Drosophila melanogaster: one gene and its partner. The protein of the gene in region 1 interacts with the protein of each later gene in a pairwise test. Each region holds a gene or a part of one and is shown in the gene's direction. Other genes may lie near its edges.

What was found. The genes of interacting proteins can lie anywhere in the genome.
Region 2: the proteins of CG17744 (region 1) and CG17564 interact in a two-hybrid assay, tested with the Drosophila melanogaster proteins (one large-scale study listed by BioGRID).

The regions. Positions count from the first base shown.
Region 1 is NT_037436.4:7,022,509-7,033,006, reverse strand, and holds CG17744 (uncharacterized protein), read left to right. Parts: upstream 1-6,212; 5' UTR 6,213-6,258; coding exon 6,259-6,507; intron 6,508-6,575; coding exon 6,576-7,043; 3' UTR 7,044-7,206; downstream 7,207-10,498.
Region 2 is NT_033779.5:19,294,318-19,305,315, reverse strand, and holds CG17564 (uncharacterized protein), read left to right. Parts: upstream 1-5,382; 5' UTR 5,383-5,588; coding exon 5,589-5,701; intron 5,702-5,873; coding exon 5,874-6,328; intron 6,329-6,386; coding exon 6,387-6,674; intron 6,675-6,728; coding exon 6,729-6,880; 3' UTR 6,881-6,971; downstream 6,972-10,998. Other genes in the region: CG10750 (uncharacterized protein), read right to left, coding at 3,777-3,914, 3,969-4,258, 4,314-4,768, 4,831-4,943.

The DNA.
Region 1 (10,498 bases):
GTCCTGGCACGGCTCACAATGGCTTAATATGCGCCGAGTCTGCGGCGGACTTACAATCTGGATTTTGGAACTCGAGTTTATGGGGGAAGAAAATCAAGTAGTTCCTTGGAATGGCATATTCTTATATTATATAATTTGTTTTACAATATATATTTATATATAGTATTATATATAATTTATATTTTATAAAACTCATAACACTTAATTTTTATTAGAAAAATCGAAACAACCAAATATCATGATCTGTTTTTGAGAGTCTCTGCCCGCAATACTGCAATTCTCAAGTATAAACGACACCAAACTTTGGTCAATGACAATGAGATGGTTTCATGGATGGAGGATATTCTAGCGAACAGAGGGGTAGTCAGGGAATGGGGCGGGGGTGTGTGTGTGTGCTGTAACACACACGTGGCCCATCAATAGACATTGAAGTGAGCATTGTTCGCCATGTAGCTTGTTACTGTTGTGCCATTGAGTGCGGATATTAAAGTTTTTGCTTTGTTTCTGGCTTGGCTTTGTTTTGCTTCAAGAAAACTATGCGCTAAACAAATGGCAAGCCGGCGAAAATCACTGGCTGGAGAGTCGGAGCATGAAAGCAATGTCCGTACTTGTGTCCGGGATTCGTGTCCGTCCGTATTTTCTGTCCGTCCACGGTTCTGTCCGTGTGGCCCAGTTTTCATTGGAGCACGTGTGTGTGTGTGTGTGCAACAAAATTAGCAGCAAGGAAATTCACTTGAAACGGAAATTAAGCCGCAGGAAGTGGCATTTTTTGGGCATGAGTCGACGTCGCCATTTTGGATGTTTTTTTTGCTCCCGCTGGCTTGACTCTCATTATTACCTGCATTTTTGGGGCTAAGTAAATTGACAGCTCTGCCATTGTGCAGTGGCCAAACAAAGGAAACGAGAATGTGCTTTCTGTATCACATTTCTGGGTTTGTAAAGTTACCCAATTTAAAGACCAACACACTTTTGGTTAGAATAATAATTACTGCGGCCATATTGTTACATGTTCATTCGCTTAGCCAAGTTTAAGCTTTCACAGTCCGACTTATCCCTCGTTTCGATGCGGATCTGGCAAAGAATAACTATCTGTGGGCATCGCAAAAAAGGCTTAACCTCGACGGCTCCGAGAACCCTTTTCGACCGCTCCTTGAGTACGACAGAAAATTCAGGGCGATGAACTGATAAGCGGACATCAAAGCCGGTCGCCTCCGCAATATTGTGCACGGCAACAAGCAGCTGCAAAGGCAACTGGCCAACGAAAAAGCGTAGGTAAATAGGTGTACGGAGAAAAATATATATATATAAGTTATATACCAAAATGGAAATGTGTCAATGCGGCTGGTCAAAAAGAACCGCAATTAAGCAAAGTTGAATGGAAAAATAATGAAGGATACAATAAAAGCAAAATTAAAGTAAAATTAAATTGCAAATGAAAAAGATATCTTAAAGAATTATCTAACGAGTTCAATTGAAATTATTATTTCACATACATTTGAAGGTGGTATTCTTAGAGAGTTGGGTACTTCTTAAAACTTGTACACAAAGCTGACCAGCGGTCAAAGAATTAAATTGATCAAATTCAGTTTTTCAGATTAAGTTCATAATTCTGTTCCAGTGTATACAGAAATGGCGAAGGCGCACGACAACAGGCGTTGCGACAGAGGGTCAAGCGCAGACAAAGGCCGTTTTAAATAACGAAAATCTGGCCGCAGGCAAAAGAAACATTTTCGGTGTCCTGGACATCCTGGCAGAATGTGATTTTAAGGTGGGCATTTAGTTTAAATAGTGTCAGGCGGAGAGCAACGGAGGTTGAGCGGTATGGGGAGGGGGTGGCAGTACAAATGGCTGACTTTCGCAGGATGTCTCGGCAGGTCGGTCAAGTGGCGCAGAGTGCTCCGAGTGTGCCGTGAGCAATTAACTGGGCTGAAAGTGCATGTGCACATATGCGCTGCTTGTGCATTTGTTGTTTATTCTGTGCCGCACATAATTAAGGCCAGAAATGAACTGAAATGCGAAAGAAGCGGAGCAAGGACACAACAGGCCAGCAAAAAGTGAGTGGGAGGAGAGGAGGCGAAAAGTGTGGTAATATTTGCGCAGCAGCAAGGCATCCATTGCCTAGCAATGAGTCCTTTTTGCTATTTTTTTTTCACTCTTTCTTTTGCTCCTGACAAGGGATCGCTATGCGTATTGAAAATAAAGCAAATAATACGCAAATCGTTGACCCTTTTCCATTTGCCATTACCACGAAAAAGCAGAAAGGTAGACCGGCCTCCTCAAAAATGCGAGACACGTTTCAGTTGCGAGTTACGGGACAAGGAAAAGGACTCCGCAAATCCAACACTGCGGCTATCTGGCAATTTGTCAAAAATGTGTCAATAATGGAGATCGATTGGGGCTCTTAAAAATTAACCGAAAATGGATTCACATTCGACTTGAAATCCATGGCCGTAACCCTGCAATTGTCTGAAACGGAAACTTGTGAAATGACTTCAATTGATATTTATAGGAACTATAGTATATAGATATATGTGCTTATATATTGGCACTTGTATATTACTTTACTATATTGTTTTTATCAAATTTGAGACAGTATTTCTAAGGTTATTTTATTTATCAGGACGGTAAAAGGTGGTATGACAGTTGCTTATCCATTATTTGAGACTTTAATAAATTTAAATCACTCCTTCACCTTATAAAAGTGTGTCAAACTTTTATTGAAGGTCGTAACTCAGCACACCCATCCTGACCTTAATTATGCATAATAAAACTTAAAGTCTAACTTGAACTATGCTTCCAATGCCATTAAAAATCTTGTACTGCCGTCACATTTCGCTTGTTGTGAAAGTTAAATTCTTAATTAAGCACAAATATTTAATAAGTGAAATTTACGGCATGCAGCGGCATCGAAACAAAGGAAAGCTTTAGGCATGAAGATTACCATAAACTTGTTTCCGCTGACGCTGCTTCTCTGTACCCTATAGTTCTGAAACCTATATTAAGGTATATGAACTATTTAAAACTTAAATTAATTAGAACGAAAGATATTCCATTCAACTACAAATAAATGATTATCGCAGTTGCTGAATCTGGTGATATAATCATATATATTAAATGTATTGTTTTATATATATTTATATATTTTGTATATATACCAAGGGTATTAACAAGTCCACCTGGATTCTGTGCAAATTTGAATTTTTCGCAGTTCGCTTTACCTCTTATATAATGACAATGGCAGCCACTGCCAGGACAAGAGCGGAAACGGATGTATATATTTTCGTTGGAGGCACCTAATTCACCCGCTTGTCTTGGTATTTGTATCTGTGGGTCTGTGTGTGTGCAATTGTTGGCGGTTCTGGATCCTGCGGATTCTGCACTCGCATCCAACGAAAAAGTTATGCTCAAGTTAATAGATAATTAACCATGCAAATTGCCGCGCAACAGTTTACAGATACGGGTCTCATCCTCATCCTCATCCCAACCACTAACCCCATCACCCCGTCGTCATCGTAATTTTCATTATCATTTTCATCCTCATCAGCTTCCAGATTCCAGATTCAGTTTCATTCTCACCATGAATCTCGCTGTGTCACCGGCTACATGCGTAAGCACTTCGTCTACCTGACTGTGCCAGGTGTCTCTGCTCGCTCAAGTACAAAAGAATTAACTCTAATTACTTTGTAATGTTGATTAAGCCTGTTAGAGCGCATTAAATATGTAAGCGACGTTTTGACATTTTCAGCATATTTGCCCGTGGCTTTTAAGTGGCAAAAACTATATGAGTTATGCGTATTTGCCACTTGACTCAGCGGCGAACTAACGCAATTTTAACTGGAATGTGGCTTCAATTATCTAACCGCAGTAATGTGCAAACAATTCGATTTCAATTCGTTTTCAAGGCATTTTCAAGAGCCGCACACAAAATGGTAATGGTAATGCCAATAGCCGAATAACAAAAATGCTAAATTCAAATTCAACTTTATGGCCAACGACGACAGGCGGCCGACAGCCGACAACAAACAAATGCCAATCCTGAACTCGGAACTCCAAACTGGGAGCTCGGAGAACTCGGTTCTCGACCTGGCCAAGGTAGCCGGGTCATAGCATAGTTTCTAAATCACTTTCTGACAGCCGTTTCGGCCCTCGCTAAAAGTCCAAAAAAACGCAAAAAAAAAAGCGCCCAAAAAAATAATCTGAAAAGGAAAACACCGGAGCAACGAGGATAACAATCGCAACGTCAGAAAGTTGCGCACTTTTTGTAATTTTATTTTATTTCCGTTTAAATGCGTGCACCGCCCCCTTGGTTACCACTTCTCACTTTTCGGATGAGCTGGGCTGAGGTTTGGTGCGATTTTAAAGCTAAATTATAGCAACATAAATTTTTACGGCCTCTTTTGCCTTTCAAGAGGCGGGATTCTTTTGGAAATACGAAAATAAAGCTGCCCAGGTGCAGGACTTAATTCACTTTACTCTGCACTTGACTCCAAAGCTCCTTTTTTTGACACTCGACGGCCGTTTCGCATTTTATTTGATGCCCATTTTCATTTTTGCGCCGGTTCTTGTTTTGCATATAATCAAAATAAATTACTTTGCACATTTTGCGGCACATAAATTATTTAAGAAACGGTCGCATCAAAGCGCAGAGAGCATATAACGCAAAACTTGTACATACAACATGTACACGCAACCTCGAGCACATATGGTTCTATGGGGCACCTCTGTATTTAATATACTTCAAAAACCTAATTTAAAATATTTTTATGATTAAAAACGAAAATTTTAGCATGACCATGCGGATATTAGCACCTGTTTCATAATAGGCTGAATAACATGAATCCCTATTTATTTTTAAGAATTTCCCAACTTGCTTCTAAGTCGTCGTTTCTTATAAAAGGTTCTATATTTGTGTAACATTATTTTTAATGTGTATATTTAGCAGTGTCCATGTGCAGCGAGCAGAAGTGACTGTCTAAATAGTGGCCGAGAAGTAGAAATGGAAACACAAGCCGAATATGAAAAGGAGCCGGAGCTGGGGATGTGGAAATGGAACTGAGACTGGAAAAGTGGGTGGAAATGGGGTAGCCGGGGGATCAAGGGCCCTGTTAGGGGACCGAAAAACAATGAGACGGCAAATGCCAACCGCATAGTGACAGATTTTTTTTAATTTTGCTAAAAACCTACGACTAATTCTCAAACGAGCTGACACAAATCTCGAAAAGTTTTTGCGCCAACATTTTTGCAGAAGCGTCTGTCTGCTGGTCCCTCAGTCACTTTGTCCTTCCGCCTCTCCGACTGTCACAGTTCCTTTCTGCCCGACTGTTTATCCTGCGGAGCATAAGCTTCATATATATACACACACATACAAATATACAGAACTGAATACATATATACTAGCTGCAGCAGAAGAACTCAGCGGAGAAGCTTTCGGGCTTATAGAAGAGGCAAAATAGGATTTTATACTGAATTGCTCCAGTTAGGATAGTAAATTATTAAAAAAAAAAAGGGATACTCCCTCAGAAAATTGAAGTTTATTTATTTACTTATTATTTATTTACTTAATCACAAGATTAACTCATTTGTTTCTGTGCACAAACAAAATCCCATAACAGAAAAAATGTAAACTATGCCTATGTAGCATATTTTGTCTAATAAATGTGTTAAGATGTTGTTACACTTTGTTTATTTAGGTTTTTGTGACACTTTTCTGCTCAATGAATTTATTTCTATATTTTCACCTTCATATTTATGCTGTTCTGACCCCAAGACCGAATACGAAAAGCAAAAGGGTTAAAATTGCATTTTATTGTGGGTCAAAAGTGCCAACTACAATTAGTTTAAAACGAGAAAACCTGTCAAATAAAAACAAAACCTAAAATGTAACATGCTAAAAAACGAACATATTATGACCAAGTTGAAGATTTTTTTTGTGTTTATGTTCCAGTGTGTTGGTTTATATGTTGATTTAGACAGTTTTATAAACCCAAAAGCAAACAGATAGTGTCAACGTTGCGTATACGCAGCGTAAGCCGTTCTCCCGCGGCAGCTGCAGTTAAGGCAAAATATGCACAATTTTAAATATATGTATATATGTATATAAAGAGGATGTGCATAACTGGTCCTGAAGTGCATGGTGAAAATTCAGGAGGCCAGGCGTTTTCTGAATTCTACTTCAAAACAAAAATTTTGGTGCTAATACAGCAATATTTTTACTCAAACTCGCAGCTTCAACTTGCCACATTATATTTTTTTTCCACCATGGAGTCTGCTAAAGTCCTAAATAAACTATTGAAGGAAGCTCCCAAAGATTCTAAAGGAAGCAAAGAGATTGAAGAGTTACGAAACCTGATCATAGAGCTGATGAAACCACGACTGGGACAACTACTTCAGATACTAAAGACTCGCATGATAGCTTCCACTCGAGATGAGTTTCAAGATGAAAATGAAGACTGGTGGCCAGATTATGAGCTATTATCAGCAGACTGGAGAGCCTTCACAGATATGAATGTAAGCAAGAGTTATTAAAAAAACGAAATAAGAAAAAACTAATAATATATTAATAAATTATACTACAGGGTCTTTTAGTCTGCACTCAGAATGCTTTAAAGGGACTACCGGGTGATCTTAAGGCCATTGGTGAAAAGTTCGATTATGCCTATTCCGTTGCAAAGCCTATAACTGCTCGAAATAAGACCAAAAACTATTTTTTAGTAGTGGAACTTATAGAGGACATGGAGGACTTTGTAACGCACCTCAGCCGCCTGTGTAGCAAGAATCTGGACGAGCGAAGGGACCTATACGATCTGGCTTCGATAACTAAAGATACTGGCGATAGAATCAAGGTGAAAGTCTTCGATGAACGCATCTTTGTGCAATTGCAGTCGCGAATTGCAAGTCTTAGGAACTACATAAGGGACTTCTGTGCCCTTTTCGATGCCCACTTGGAGTCCGAAGAGGAGGATGAATTCGAAACATTAGATATGTTGGCAAAACCCCAAGGACCACTTGCCACGGGAACCAATGCTGATAAGGCCCGGACTTAAGCCAAATCGATCAGGAAGTCATCTCACCGTCTATTCCCATGGCATGGCTTCCAACGGTTTTCATTGTACAATACCCACACTTGGAGCTACAGAACACAGAAACATGACTCCGGCATATGGGCGGTAATAAAGAGTTCGCCTCCAGTGTATTGGAGTATCTGGGAAAGCTTTTTATGCTTCAAAGTCAATATAGTAGTGTGCCATGTACAGAGCGCACAGTTTTAAAACGGTAAGTATGCCTTTCAGTTACGTGGTCGTGTGTGGTGACACACTTGCCCCTCCGCACCATCCACTGAACAGCCCTACGACCCTCCAACAGCCACCCACCCACTGCCCCTTGTCAATGGGCTGTTAGTTGCTCCGAGCACAGACGCCATTCAAGCGGAAATGCAGCACCGAAAGCCGGCTACAAGCTGCACTGAGCGAAATTCGTACAAATATTTGAGTGCTAAATGGTAAATGGTTAATTCGCTGCTTACATTGTAAGTACGACATATAAATTGTCATTGAAAAAGTTAGAAATAGGAATTGTTCAGAAATTTATGAGCTGTCGCTCTTAAGAGTTATATATATATAAGGAAGTATATATAAGGAAGCTAGTATGCGAAGGACTTACATCCAAAGCCATTTACATATTGATAAACCCTTGCTATTTACTGATTTTTATTAAAATCTTGCAAGTTTTAGCTGCCTTTTACTGTGTAAGTTCTATGAACGGGCGCACGGCAACGACCAAAAAAGAGCCAGAACCATAGCCAGAGGCAGAAACCTCCATGTGAAGTGTGTCATCAGTTTAAGGTTTTTGTGGGCAGCACTCGCACACAGACGGCAATCCACTCATACTAACACGCCGAACACGCACACAGATGCACAGGCACAGATACAGGCTCAGAGGGCCGGAGAAAACGATACGGAATACGGAGCTCCACTCACGAGACCGAGCAGCCCGTATTTTCATAATAAACAAATGGGTTGTATGGTTGGTTGGCTTAACTTTCGGGCTGCCAGCAAGTCGCAGATAGCAGATAGCGACAGCCACCGCTCCGCATTTGTTAGCGCAAATCAGTGCTATTTATATTGCGGCAGTGGAAAGGTATATGGCATGGTTTATCCTGGGCATATCTCGCGCCATATCTGAAGCACCAGGCCAGATCCCCAACGCCCCCGGGGGCATCACAGTGCGTGGTGCTTGTCAACACGCTTGCCAACTGCAGTTCGCCGCCGAGGGTTGCATCCAATTTGCTGAGATACTTGGCTACTGAGATGCAAATGCAGATGCATCCTTTCTTGAGAAAAAAAAAACAACCCTCCAGCTACCTATTTGCAATACTTATAGCGTGAAGCGTAACATTTGTCTTCAAAATACATTTTTTTTGGGAATGGTAGGACACAACTACGTAATAAAATAAGCATATTCACTCACAATTCTTATCTATACAATTTTCGAAGGTAAATAGGTTAAGATTGTGTTACGTTAATTTCAAATTTATAATAAGATATCAAATTGTTAGTTTACCCATAAAACCCAACCCAATTATTTGTAAAAGGTATCTTTAATTTACAGGCTGCGGGTTATCAGCATTCGCGATATGCACACAAAAGTTGCAATCTAAAGGGAGCAACTTCCGTTGCAGGTTGTCAATGCAACAAGTTCAAGAAGCGAAAACTTTACGTTGCCTATCGCAGCGTCAGAACCGCAAGAGACGGCTAAAAGTTGTGCTATCTATGCCATCAAAATTGAGATACCACCACCTACGCCATCGTCCTGCAACTTCTGTTCGGTTCGGTTCAGTTCGTTTCTGTTCTGGCTTCTGGTGCGGCACAATAATAAATTTATTACGAACTCTTTGGCGGGGCGTGTCGACGTCGTCATCGAGCTCCAGAGCTCCAAGTTCGCTCTGGATTTCGCCTACGATTCCTTGGGTGCGTGCAACTCAAACTCCTGCCATTTGGTTGCTAACCCGTAGTTATAGTGGCATGCTGCGCTTTAATAAAATATTATCATAAACGTAACGGAAGCTAGTTTTTCATATGCTTATATTCCCAGCCCGTGGAAGAAGCTTTCACAAATATCCGTATTTTTACTCCGGTTGTGTTTCTTTTCTCCGCCCTGTAGGATAGCAACGGGAGTAATATGTTTTCATAAATCAAATGTACGGAGCGTTGCTCAATATTTAATGTTTTGCCTTTCGGAATTTATACACATCAGGAATGTGGGGATTAAATTTGAATTTATCTCAAGTAAAGCCAGAGAGCACGACACTCATGAATATGAAAATCGTTTCTTTTAGTCAACTTCAGAATTTTTTTTTAGTTGAAGAAGGAAGCTATTTTTCAGGCCATTGACTTTGGATTAGCTTCTATTTAGTGCAGAAAATGAAATATTTTATAAATGACTTTTCAGTGGCTCCGAATAAGGAATTTAATTTTGAAATAAATTCAGCAGCCCAGTTTCGGGTTTATTTGCTAGTAAACTATGATTCGATTCCCAAGAATTCTCCACTGGCATTTCGTTTCTCTTTTAGCCGGAAACTTTCCTTCTGCTTCTGAGGCACTCGGATATTTTTATAATTTATTGCCAGCCACGAATGCACATATATGTACCTGTGTATTTGTCTAGCTAAATCTAGGGGAATGCTTTTCCGGTAGTTTTTTATTGCTCAATCGAGAATCGGATAGTGGGTGTGAGTTAATGGTTGGCTACTTTCTTTCCATTCGACAGAAATGTCGATGGGTTGTTCCTTTTGGAATATGTCTGAATGCGAGTGTGAATGGCTTTTTTATGCCCACAAGGATACCATGCCACATAATATATGCCTTATTAATTGGAAATGCGCAGCAGGATTATCGACTAATACGTGGTGTAACACAATGCTTGTCATCCCATAAATGTCCAACGAGTTTCGACGAGTCGAAATTGCTAAATGCATTAACTATAATTGGCTTTCGCCTAATTTCGCTTTTGGGTAATTAGACACTAATGAAACCTAATAGACCTCGCCGTGCCTCCAAAAGCCACATGTCTAAGCCTCGGGAATTCGGAGAAATCAGTCAATAAGCCAACAACCGCTGGCAGTGGATAACCACCTCGTATTAAACAAGGACAAATTGCCTGTCAATCTACGTGTAATTTTTATAAATTTCCAATTGTGTGCCAGGCATTTTTTCCTTTCATTCCCCACCGATTTTCCCCTTTTTTCCTGCCATTTTTATCGTGGGGTCGTAATTAACAGCACCAAGGAAACTAGGAAAATAGCGAAAAACAAGGAAAAGCTTGTGTAATGTAAGTCACTGCTAATGAACCCATCGCCGGTTGCTAGTGGATGGTGCTGGGAGAAAGTGGGTGGTTTCGGGCACCATTTAGTGGGTGGTGCTGTTTGGGTGGTGCCAGGTGAGACAGCCCATGCTAAAATGGCTTTATAAACAGACTGGCTACAACTCGCACTCCTTGTTTT
Region 2 (10,998 bases), on another chromosome or scaffold:
TCGGGGCTCTCGATTGGAACGATATTTTTATGCAAATTGTAATCAAGGAGCAGAGGGCACACAATCGGAATCACACACGGGCATATGCCGAGCCCAATTCGAGCCAATAAAATGCGAACAAATGCCGCTTGGATAAGTGTAAAATTTACAATTCCAATTCCGCATCCGTTTTCAATTTCCCAGCAGTTGTGCCGAGAGTCTTTAAAATCGAACAATGGCCTGGAAAATTGTTAGGGCTTAAGCAAGGGTCTGATAACAATGGGACTTAAGGAACAATCCCGCAGATGTTTAACACATATTTTGCACAACTATTTAAGCCGTTGATTTCGACGCCCAATGAAATTAAAATTTTTCAATGCGATTTGTGCTGTATGATGATTTGTATTTGTATTCCTCGCAGGGGTTGATCTCTAATGAAGCCATTAAGGGTAGGCAGCTCCTCCATCTTGGCATGTGTGTGGTTAACTTTCGGCAAACACAGAGGTCCATAACTGTTGTCGTTCCAGCCGGCAAATGAATAAATTATCAACTGTGTATGTGAGGTAGGAAAAGTCCTTCGGCCCCATCTCCATCCCATAGTTGACTCCCAGCTTGAGTGTGCTCTAATTGCAGCTCCTTGTCGTCGGGCCATTAGAAGCCGGCACTAATGGCTCTCATTCAGGGGGTGGTCGGGTGGTCAGGTGGGTGGCCAGGTGGCTGGTTGGGTGGTGCTCCGGTAACTTAAAGTCACCAGAAGCCGCAGTAACATTAGCGCATAAAAAAGGCATTTGTAAGACATGAAAGGTACTCAGTCAAGTGAGTTGTGGGCGGCAGGTGGCATTTATCTCCGCCCACCAACTCCGATGACACATTAAAGGCAAGCAAATCGAATTCACGAATAAATGTTACCCTACAAATTAAGGGAGGTTACCAAATAACCCAAGCTGGTTTAAAATCTACTGCATTCCTTCAAGATTAATTTGATAAAGGTGACAAGAAATTTGAGTTTGAGAAAAGCTGTTTAAGTATAACTCGTTATTTCCAGAATACCTACCAGCTCAAAATATTTGCCTGTTGCTCCAATCTCCAAGTACAGCATACCCCGTGAATTGCTTGGCAACGGGGTACAAAAAAGGAAGACAAATCAATGCAGGTGTCACAAATGTCAGCCGACAGCTTTTGGATCCCTTCCCGCTTCCTTTGAGAGAGGATATTAATGTCGCCAAGTGAATTGATGATGCCGATTGTTGTTGTCCCAGGGCATAAGCCGATTTGCCATCTTATCACAGGCCCCGTCGCCCGACGACGACTCCGTCAGTAAATCCAGCTCCATCTCCGACACTCCAACGACAATTCCTATTCTGATTCCGATTCCGATTCTGACTCTGATTCCGGTTTCAATCTCTGAGGCGAGCTTTCATAAAGGGACCCCCCCCCCCTCCACCGATTGACAGGCATAATAAATCATGTGTTATAGTATTAATCAAGCTCCTTCTGGCTTCTTCGACTGGTTGCTCCTTTGACTGCTGAGCCTGCCATTGTTGTGCCGGATAATCGCTTGACATTTATTGCAGCTACCGGCAGGATGTGCTCGCATCGACTTAAAGTCCTCGCTTCAAGTTGTCCTCGCAAAGTGTCCTTTAATTGCGCCTATTTCGTCTGCTCCTTTCGGCCTGCCAGTCGTGCATTTTGCAGGCATTGTTTCTCTAATTGCTATTTGTCGCCAGTGTCCCATACAAGTGGGCAGCCATTCGTCCTCCGCCGCCCAACTTTTCTGTCTGGCCGTCACATTAAGAACTTGTAAAGTTAAATTAAGTGTTTCGTCTAGTAAGCGGGAAAAAAGCAAATGGCAGCAAAAGCGCCAAGAAGCTGCAGAACTTACGAAAAGGATAATTGCGGGGGCGGAAAGGTAGTTTTCCCTTGCTAATAGTTGTCTGCTTTTAAGAGATATATTTGTTAAATTTTAAAGGAAAGAATTGGTTAGAATTCAAATGATAGGGAAGATAAATGTATTGCATTTTGAGAGGAGGTTCAAGTTTAAATTGGAAGGAAGAAATTCAAAGGGTCTGCTCAAACTAGTTCTGCAAAATGTGTAAAAATGGGAGTCTGAAATATGCTTTGCCCCATTTCATGTGCAAATTCTACATCACATTGCAGTTTGACATTCAAAGCGCATAGTTTATCTGCAAAGTTCGAAGTAATTGGGACAACAACTGTGATAAACAATTCTAAAGCTCAATTTCGAAACTGAAAGTATTTCAAGAAATGCTCAAGCAACCCTCGCATCAGCGTGGCCTCGTTTCACCTACACCGCATTGCTGGCAATATTATTTAATTCGCAGACAGTTAATTGTAATGCAATTAAGGGATTAGCTGGGAATGCCATTAGGCTTTATTGTTCATATGAACAGGACAGAATGAATTGGTATCTGCGATGATAAAATTCGGAGAAGGCGGCGGCTGCTCATTTATCTAAAAGATTCATTTTAATGACAGGCACTTCAAAAACTCAAATCTAAGCGGGCATAGAATGCGTTACTCAATTATTTAAATTGCAGGCAACAAATCTAAAGTGTTTGCATGATTTTACTAAGAGCCAGCCCCATGCCGCCAAGCAATTTAATGTAATTGCTGTCGCACTCAAAAGTAAAATCCGAAATGTACAAAAAATGACTGCCGGGCGCTGTGGGCCAACTTGCGGGCCAACTTGTGGCCCATCCATACGGTCCATTTAAATAAACCAAATGTTTATTTTGCCGAACTACTTCGATTTCGATCGCTTCGTCTTACCATTGCTTTTTGTTTTTTATTCTTGCTCGAAATAAATGTCTGTGCATTTTAGTTTGCTTTCCGTTTGATTTGATTTTTAGGCTACGTATATCGTCGAGTGTCCTGTCGGTAGTCCTGGGAGTTTTCCTTCGGGCTGATATCAGCAAAAATCGCAAATCAAATAAAGCAAATTGAATAAGAGACAAGTGCCACGCCTCCGCTGGCGACTCAACTCAATGCCCTGGGTGGGCGTACGTGTGGGCGGTAGGTGGAGCTGGAGCGGGGGCGTGGCAACGGTTCTCGGGCACAAAAATTAGTTGGTAGTTCCATTCGAGCCAACGTTGTTGTAAATGCGAGGACAGAAATCAAAATGTTCGCATAAAAGAATTATCTGTGCTTAAGTTAGATTATCCCCGGGCCATAGAATCCAATTGGCAATTGAATGGAAAGATGTCGCAGATTCGATTTGCCAACTTTATTTTCTTGCCCATCGCTTTGTCCTTCCCTGATTTGAAGTTCGTGTGCCACTTGAAAGTTGCCCAGCCTCTGGTATCTCAGTCCTCGAATGCATTTCCTTTTTATCGGATTCCATTTGATTTTCTTTTGGGCACGGAACAACAATGCCCAACCGAATGTTGTGGGTTCTCTAGTTTTTTTTTTTTTTTTTTTTTTTTTTGGGAGGGCTGGCAAGGTTTTGGGGTTAGACAAATGTTATGGGTGCCATAAAGCTGAAGGTGGAGCGCCCATTTAAGTTCTTAGGAATGAGAGTAAATCTGAAAGGATGTAAGGCCTCTCGGTTCAAACAAAAAACCCTAAACAGTTTGGAGCTCATAAATCAAGTCGTACATTTATTCCTTCGCTACAACCCTTCTAATCTCTGATTCGGCTGAATTTTTTTTAAATATTTGCAGTAAAAATAACCCAAACGGAAATTAGTAAAAGCTATTTGAACTTCGTTCCATTAATTAAAGGATTTAAAATCATTTATTTATTTATTTATGCTCCATGAAAAATATTATATTTTCCGACTAGCACATACGTCCAGCGCCGACTTTATCGCCCTTATTGGACTCCAATTCCTGGAGGACCGATGAAAGAAGACTTATTTCGCGCATGATGAAGCTCATGATTTTGTCGATCTCATAGCTGTGGTAGCTGGGAACAATGTCTGCGGGGGTGGAGTTGGTACATCAGCTAGAGTCAAAGGATTTCAAGGACATACCTCGACGTTTGCAGAGCATGCGGTACAGGATTTGAATGCCATCAAACATGCGCTCCTTGTCCAGGTTGTAGAGCGACGTGGTGTCCTTGCAGGCACTTAGTATCTTTTCCCACTTGAGGCAAGTGGCCCGCGAGCTGACATAGGAACGATCCAAACGGGCCAGATCGTTTTTGAGGCCCAAAACGGTCAAGGCCGCCTCGCTGGTGATCTGAACCATTCGCAGGCGCATCTCCTCGATCTCGTTGAGTTTCTGGCTCTCCAGCTTATTGATCTCCACCTGGGCCAACACTGCACAACAAAAACAAATTTAGAATGGAAATTACAGGAGGTGTGGAGAACCCACTTAGAGCGTCACATCGATCGATGCAGTCTTTCGTTGAGATGAAGATGTCCGACACCTCGACTACCTCCTCCAGGACCCTCTCGTATGGCTGAAACTGAGCCACCGTGGCCTTGAGCGCATTGCGAAAGGTGCTCAGTTCGGCAATGGAGGTCTTGAACTCGTCTATCTCCTTGGTGACCTCCGCGTGGAGAACGGTCTCCTCGCGAATCGACTTATCCGCACTGCGCTTTTTGTCCGCACAATCCTTGATGAATCCATTCACCTCGACGAAGCGTTTGCGCAGGCGCTCCTGAATCTTGTACATCTTGCGAATGCGCTGCACATTTAATGCGGCTTGCCGCTTGGCATCTTTGAGTAGCTGGATCTGAACCTGCTTCATGGCGTCGTACTCCCGGAGATTGGCTATGTACAGCATCTCGATGTTATCCCCGGCCGAATCCCAATTGGGCGGTTTCCTAGACCATCCAAGTTTCATTAATAGTATGACTTACATATTGTAGTTGCTCTTTTAGCTTACACGAAGAATTGGTCCTGCTGGCGAGAGACGCGATAGTCATCGATGGCGACCTCTGGACTGAGGTCCAGATCCCCGATCACATCGGTCTTAATGGTGGGCTTACGTCGCGGCATCTTGTCCTATTAAAATATAATCTTTTCAAATATATTGATATATATTGGGGGAATATCTATTGGAGAACGATGTGTGATGAGTAATTCTACATGTATATGGGCAGACAGCACAGTCAAGGATAAAAGGATTAAACCATTTTTTATTACTACATTCAGATATTTATGCAATTGCTGACGTTTCCTTCATAAGTACGACCAGTCGTTAAATCAAGTAAAAACAATTGAAAAGATATCATAATTCTATAGTTGTTGATTAAAAATTAATCATCATCGAGTATCAAGAGTATATTAGGTTCGGCTTGCCGAAGAAGCTTCCTATTTTGTTTTTTCGAAAGAAACCAAATTGTGCAGTTACCATGACACAAAACTGGTTACACCTTCTCAACCATTGCCACGGTAATAAAAGAACCTCCTGGCAACCAATTGTTTTTATGTGTCACCCAAATAAAAAACATGTTCCAAGTAGGTCTTGTTAATTTTTATTACAAAACAATAACACACTTTGAAAAGTAAGCACACAGCACACACAACTACTACTACAAAACGCACAATCCGCGCTGTATCGCGGTAACCAAAGCAAAAAAAAATATAAAAAACTAACAAAAACGTACACTTGAGCTTTTACTTTCGGCAAAGAGATCCAAGATGCCCCGCGTGAAGCCCACCAAGAAGCTCGATGTTCTGGGAAATCTGGACCTGCGGCCGGAGGATGCCGTGGGGGACTATATCAGCTCTAAGCAGCAGAACAAATTCTTCGTGTAAGTAGTGAATCCCACACTGAAAAAAGGCTGAAAGAGAAGTACCCAATCCTAAAATGATCCTGGTAGTGCAGTTTGAGATTTTTGAGAAATTTTACAGCTTCGTAATTTACTGTTGCAAGGATGTCTCTATCTGGTATCAATTATTTGACCTATTCGTAACTTCCTGTAGAATTCCACCGAACTCGGACTCTGCCGGCGACTCCATCGAACTGATATATGTGAACAATCTCCGCGAGCACGAAGCCATGCTCAAGCTGCAGGAGGAGATGCTGACCAGTGCCAAGCGGCAGACCAAGCTGAACTCCGCCCGGGTGAGGAACATGTACAAGATCCAGGAGCGGCTGAGGCGGCGCTTCATCGAGGTGAACAGCTTCATCAAGGACTGCGCGGACAAAAAGAGAGTGGCCGAGAAGACCGCCCAAGCGGAGACGCTCAACCATAAGGAGCTCGGCGAGGGCATTGAGAGCTTCAAGGACTCGATCGGCGAACTCAAGGCCTTTCGGGAGGCTCTCAAGGCCACCGTGCAGGAGTTCCAGCCCTACGAGAAGGTGCTCGACGAGGTGGTGAAGGTATCCGACATATTCGTCTCGCCAAAGGACTGCACCGATCGCTGTGATGCGCTGAGTGAGCATTGCTAATTTATAAAATGAAATAAAGTTATTAATTTTTTTTTGTTCTACAGTGCTGGCTCAAGTGGAGATCAACAAGTTGGAGCATCAAAAGCTCCAGGACATCGAGAACATGCGGCAGCGTATGGTGCAGATCACAAATGATGCGGCTCTAACTGTGCTGGGTCTAAAGAACGATCTGGCCAAACTGGAACGATCCTACAACGAGTCCAGAGTGCAGTGCCTCAGATGGGAGAAGATCCTGGCCAAGACCAAGGACGCCATCAACAACAACTACATGGACAAGGAGCGCACAATAGATGCGATTACCAACCTTCACCGAATCCTTCTACGGCGAAGAGGTTAGTCAAAAAATCTTGCTATTATTAAATAATTTATTCATTTTATTATTTTAGATGTACATTCGTTTCCCGCTCGCGGCGACTTGGACAAGGTGTTGGATGCCATCATGGGCGAAGTGGAAATATTAACTGGCGTTGTAAAGGAAATCGAATCATCTGATCCCTCGATAAAGCACGAGGAAGCCAGAGATAAGTCGCTGTGCTAATTGGATATCAAAATTCAAAGAGTTCATAGGGAAGACTAGGCACACCTCACAGCTATTACAACTATAAAAGCTTATTAAAAGCGAAACTTTTAAAACGTTTGTTTGTTTCTATAGAAAGAAGTGCTTTGTGTGATGGTTCGCTGCTCTTAGCCTGCTCCTGCAGCTTGTGGCAATTGTTAATTGTGCTGAGCTCTGCATTCGGTTGTTAATGCCACTTTCTAATTGCTTTTACCTCATAAATCTTCTCCGCTGCTCCTCAATGCCTCCGTCCAAGTGGATGGTCCGAATTGGGGTCCTGGAGCGGCTTTCGTCGCGTCCTGCTCTGCAGTCATCATAAGTCACCGAATTGTCGGGCACTCAAGACAAATGTGACACTTGCTTATTTAATTAGAGATCTGCAGGCGGGATGGAAGGCCAGTACTTAAGCTCCAGAGTCTGTGCATCAACTGGACGACATTTAGCGCTAACTGCGCCAACTTCGCTTGACGGCTTTTTAATTACGTCAGCCCGGGAAATGTTCCTCTTACCACTGCTCTGCATGACAATTAGCCGGTCTAAAAAAAAAAACCCGCTCTCTGGTCAATTGAAAATTTTCTTGCTATTTTTCAGCAGGGAAAAACTTTTTTAATTACCACCGAAAAGAGACGGTGACAAAAAACAATAGTCGACCATTCGGCCGGCGGCTCTGATTTTCAATTATTTATTGACAGGAGTCTCGATTCGTCGTTTAACCTGTCGAACTCTTGACACGACCTCCGCTTTTTCAGCAAATGCACAAGTTGGGTTTGGGCTCAACACTTTTGCTGCAATGCAACTTTAATGCCGGCTAACTGACAGATTCAACTTCAATAATTGATGCGAAAATGCATAAAACAATTTCGATAAAACAGTTTTTAGATGTCATCGTGTTAATTATGCATATGCTAGAAAAACAATCCCTTTGACCGGCAAAATAATTGGCTTAAACATTTGAATTTGTGCTCTGCCAAAAGTTTGCACTTCTTCAGTGCGAGGAGTGGCAAAAATTAATCAGCACCACAAATTATCGGGATGACAAACGCCCTGCGGACAGAAATAAGTTTGAAAACATCCATACACATATGCGATTCAGAATATGTTTTTAATACCCCAACCCACTCGGTTTCTCTGACATCTTTATGCCATGTCGGCTTCTAGTCGTGTTTTGGTTTCCCGGTGCCCGCTGGTGACATTTCCGCTCTGCCTGGTCTTTGGGTCTTCGGGATTGGATTGCCGAAAAAAGAAGGTGTAAGAAGTCGGACGAGGTGATGTATGGAAACATTTTAATTAATGCTGACAGCTGGAAATGTCGCGGCCACCTTTTGTTGTGTAAATTTCATCGACTCGAGGCGTTGGACTCTATAATTATGATTGGATATCGTTGCACGTTCCTCGCTCCCACTTCTTTCTATTTTCAATTTGCCCCACCCGTTTGCTTCCCCATTGAGCAGCACGTCACTAAATTAATCCGCTTAGCAGTCGCATATTCCCCTCGATGTTTACCCGACCAGACAACCCGAGCAGACCCCATCCGAGCCCAAAGAATCAGATTCGGAGGAGGAGGAACCGGCCAGACGCTTGACCAGACGGTTAAGCCTTAATCCTCGATAGTTGTTGGCCCTTAAACTCTTCTAGGGTTTCCATCGCTCGGGCGTTTTTTTTTTCTTCCAGGTGTCAAGGTGAATGAATGGCACATCGGGGAGTTGGGGACACCAACTCCACTTGACCGGGGAGCTAATTAATGGGTCCGATTGTTAGGTAAATGCTTGTTATATGAATACAGATAGCATAAATTGAGGATTAAGCACACAACTTGATTTCATTCAAATCAATTGAAAATTTATTTCTCTTGCGATAGAAACCTCATAAATAAGTGGGAAAAGATGAGACTTGCGACTAATATATGCATATGAATGCATTTCGATTTGATGCACTTGCAAATTAGAATTAACAATACCAACAATAAAGGCTTTTTAAAATTCTATATGATATTGCATATTCAACTTCTATACTTTCCAAAATCCTATTTCGAGTCCCAACAACATTATAGACTAATGATAAATAATCCAGAAAGCATCAATTTGCTGGTCTCCAACGGGCAACCTCCTCAATGCCAAACGAAACTATTGACCCTGTCCAAGTCGCCTTAACCTTTGCTGTGCCCGTCGGCAAGAACAAGTGAGCTGCTCCTGACCAACGATTTCCATTGTAATAACAATATATAACACACAAATTTGAATAACAAATTAACTGCTACACACGCACACACCATCTCCAGTACACGGGTGACATTCGGGAAGTCTTGGGGACCACTCCTCGTCCTTCTCCTTGTGGCGTGGAACTGGAAATAGCCATTCGAGCTGGACTCCTGTGCGATACAGCGTAGGACATCATACAACATGCAATATAATTGAATGCCTGCAGGATGTATAGACACATGTGTGTATATGCGCCATACACAATATACCAGCTAGCCGGCTACCATAGCCACAAAATATTTGCTTATGTGGCCCAAAGCAGACCATACCCGACCCGACCAGACCAGAACCAAATCCAAGCCGGAGCTGAGTTCGAGCCCAGCCCAAACAGCTTTCGACCACCAGCCAAATGTGACTTTGCAGCGTCAACGTCAATGTTGCATAAATCAACACACCGACGATGGCGATGCCAATTTTGTGGCTCCATATCCGCCCCCGAACCACTGAGCCACCCAACCACCCGACCACCGAACCCCACAACCCCTGAACCGCCGCACCACCGCCGTCTACTTGATTGAATATTTCAAGCTATGCATCTTTAATAATGCGCCACGACGGCGATGTCGATGTCGATGACGTTGCCTCGGGCCAGTTTGTGGCACCGGCCATGCAAATGCAAATGGGCAAATGTAAAATGCAAACTGAAAACTGCAAAATGCAAAATGCACAGTGGCCGTCGAGGATGTAATTTGGGCGTTTTTTCCGTCTTCCTACACTAAACTGACCGCTGTCTAAGTCAGGCACGTCAGTACCGACTCCTGCCGGTTTATGGAGCTGGAAACGCCTTCTAATCAAAACCGACTTGACTTTTATTTTCTACGTGCCGCCTTTTACCCTTTCTTGAGGTGGGTAGGTACACTTTTTCCGAGAGCTCTGATCTAAGAGAATCGAAATAGGTCTTTTTAATTAAGACATTCCGTATCCTTTACAAAGGGAATCCACAATAGATAGTCTTATTCAAGGATTAGATTATATATTATTATTGTACATATAAAGTGAATACCCTGTTTTTCTTCAGTCACTATCTTGTGGCCGCCCGAATATAACTTTAAAACTTGAATTGAGCCAGGTTCTCGGTTAAGGTTTCCTTTTCGGTTTCGGTCTGGCGACATCTAATTGAATCCGACCGCATCAAGATGAAGTTCGTCTTTGCCGACAGTTTTGTTTGGGGTTTCCCTTCCTTTCATTTCATTGCCTTTCCCTTCTCTTCCTTTTGGGTCCATCTACTTTGTGTGTGTTTAGTTGACCGCAGTCAAAAATAGCTTTGAAAAACTTTGGCTGGCAAAGTCTCGCCTGCGGAGCAGTCGAGCTGCTCTCGGTTTCTCGGAGGAAGATGATTCGAAACCGGGTGGATTTTCGGTTGCTGGCATCTTTGTCAAAGTCAAAAGTTTGTCATAGTTCAAGTTAATGTTCTGTGACTTTTCGCCATTTTTATTTTGGCCAGGCAAATGAACCATGTTTCGGATGATGTATTGATGTATTCCCAATTGTGGCATAAAGATAAAGTTTTAATAAGTTTGTCAATTGCTGGCATAGATTGCACTCACTATTGGCAGCGTGTTGAAGAACTTTCGTGGCTAATACAGAACTCTGAACTCAGCTGAAAGGGTCTAAAAAGCAGTTTACTTATCTCGTCTCCGACATTGCAGTTAATTAAAATGTTGCATAAAAATCAGCTACTGCGGCGGCTAATGCTATTATTTCAGCTATCGTTGCGTATACGCCACGTTGCAGCTGGGTGAAACGGCACCCAATCGGCTTAGTTCGGCTCAGCCCGGACTACGGCTAGTGCTCTATCTCCAAGATCCAACAATGGCTGAATTTAATTACGCCTCTGCTGTA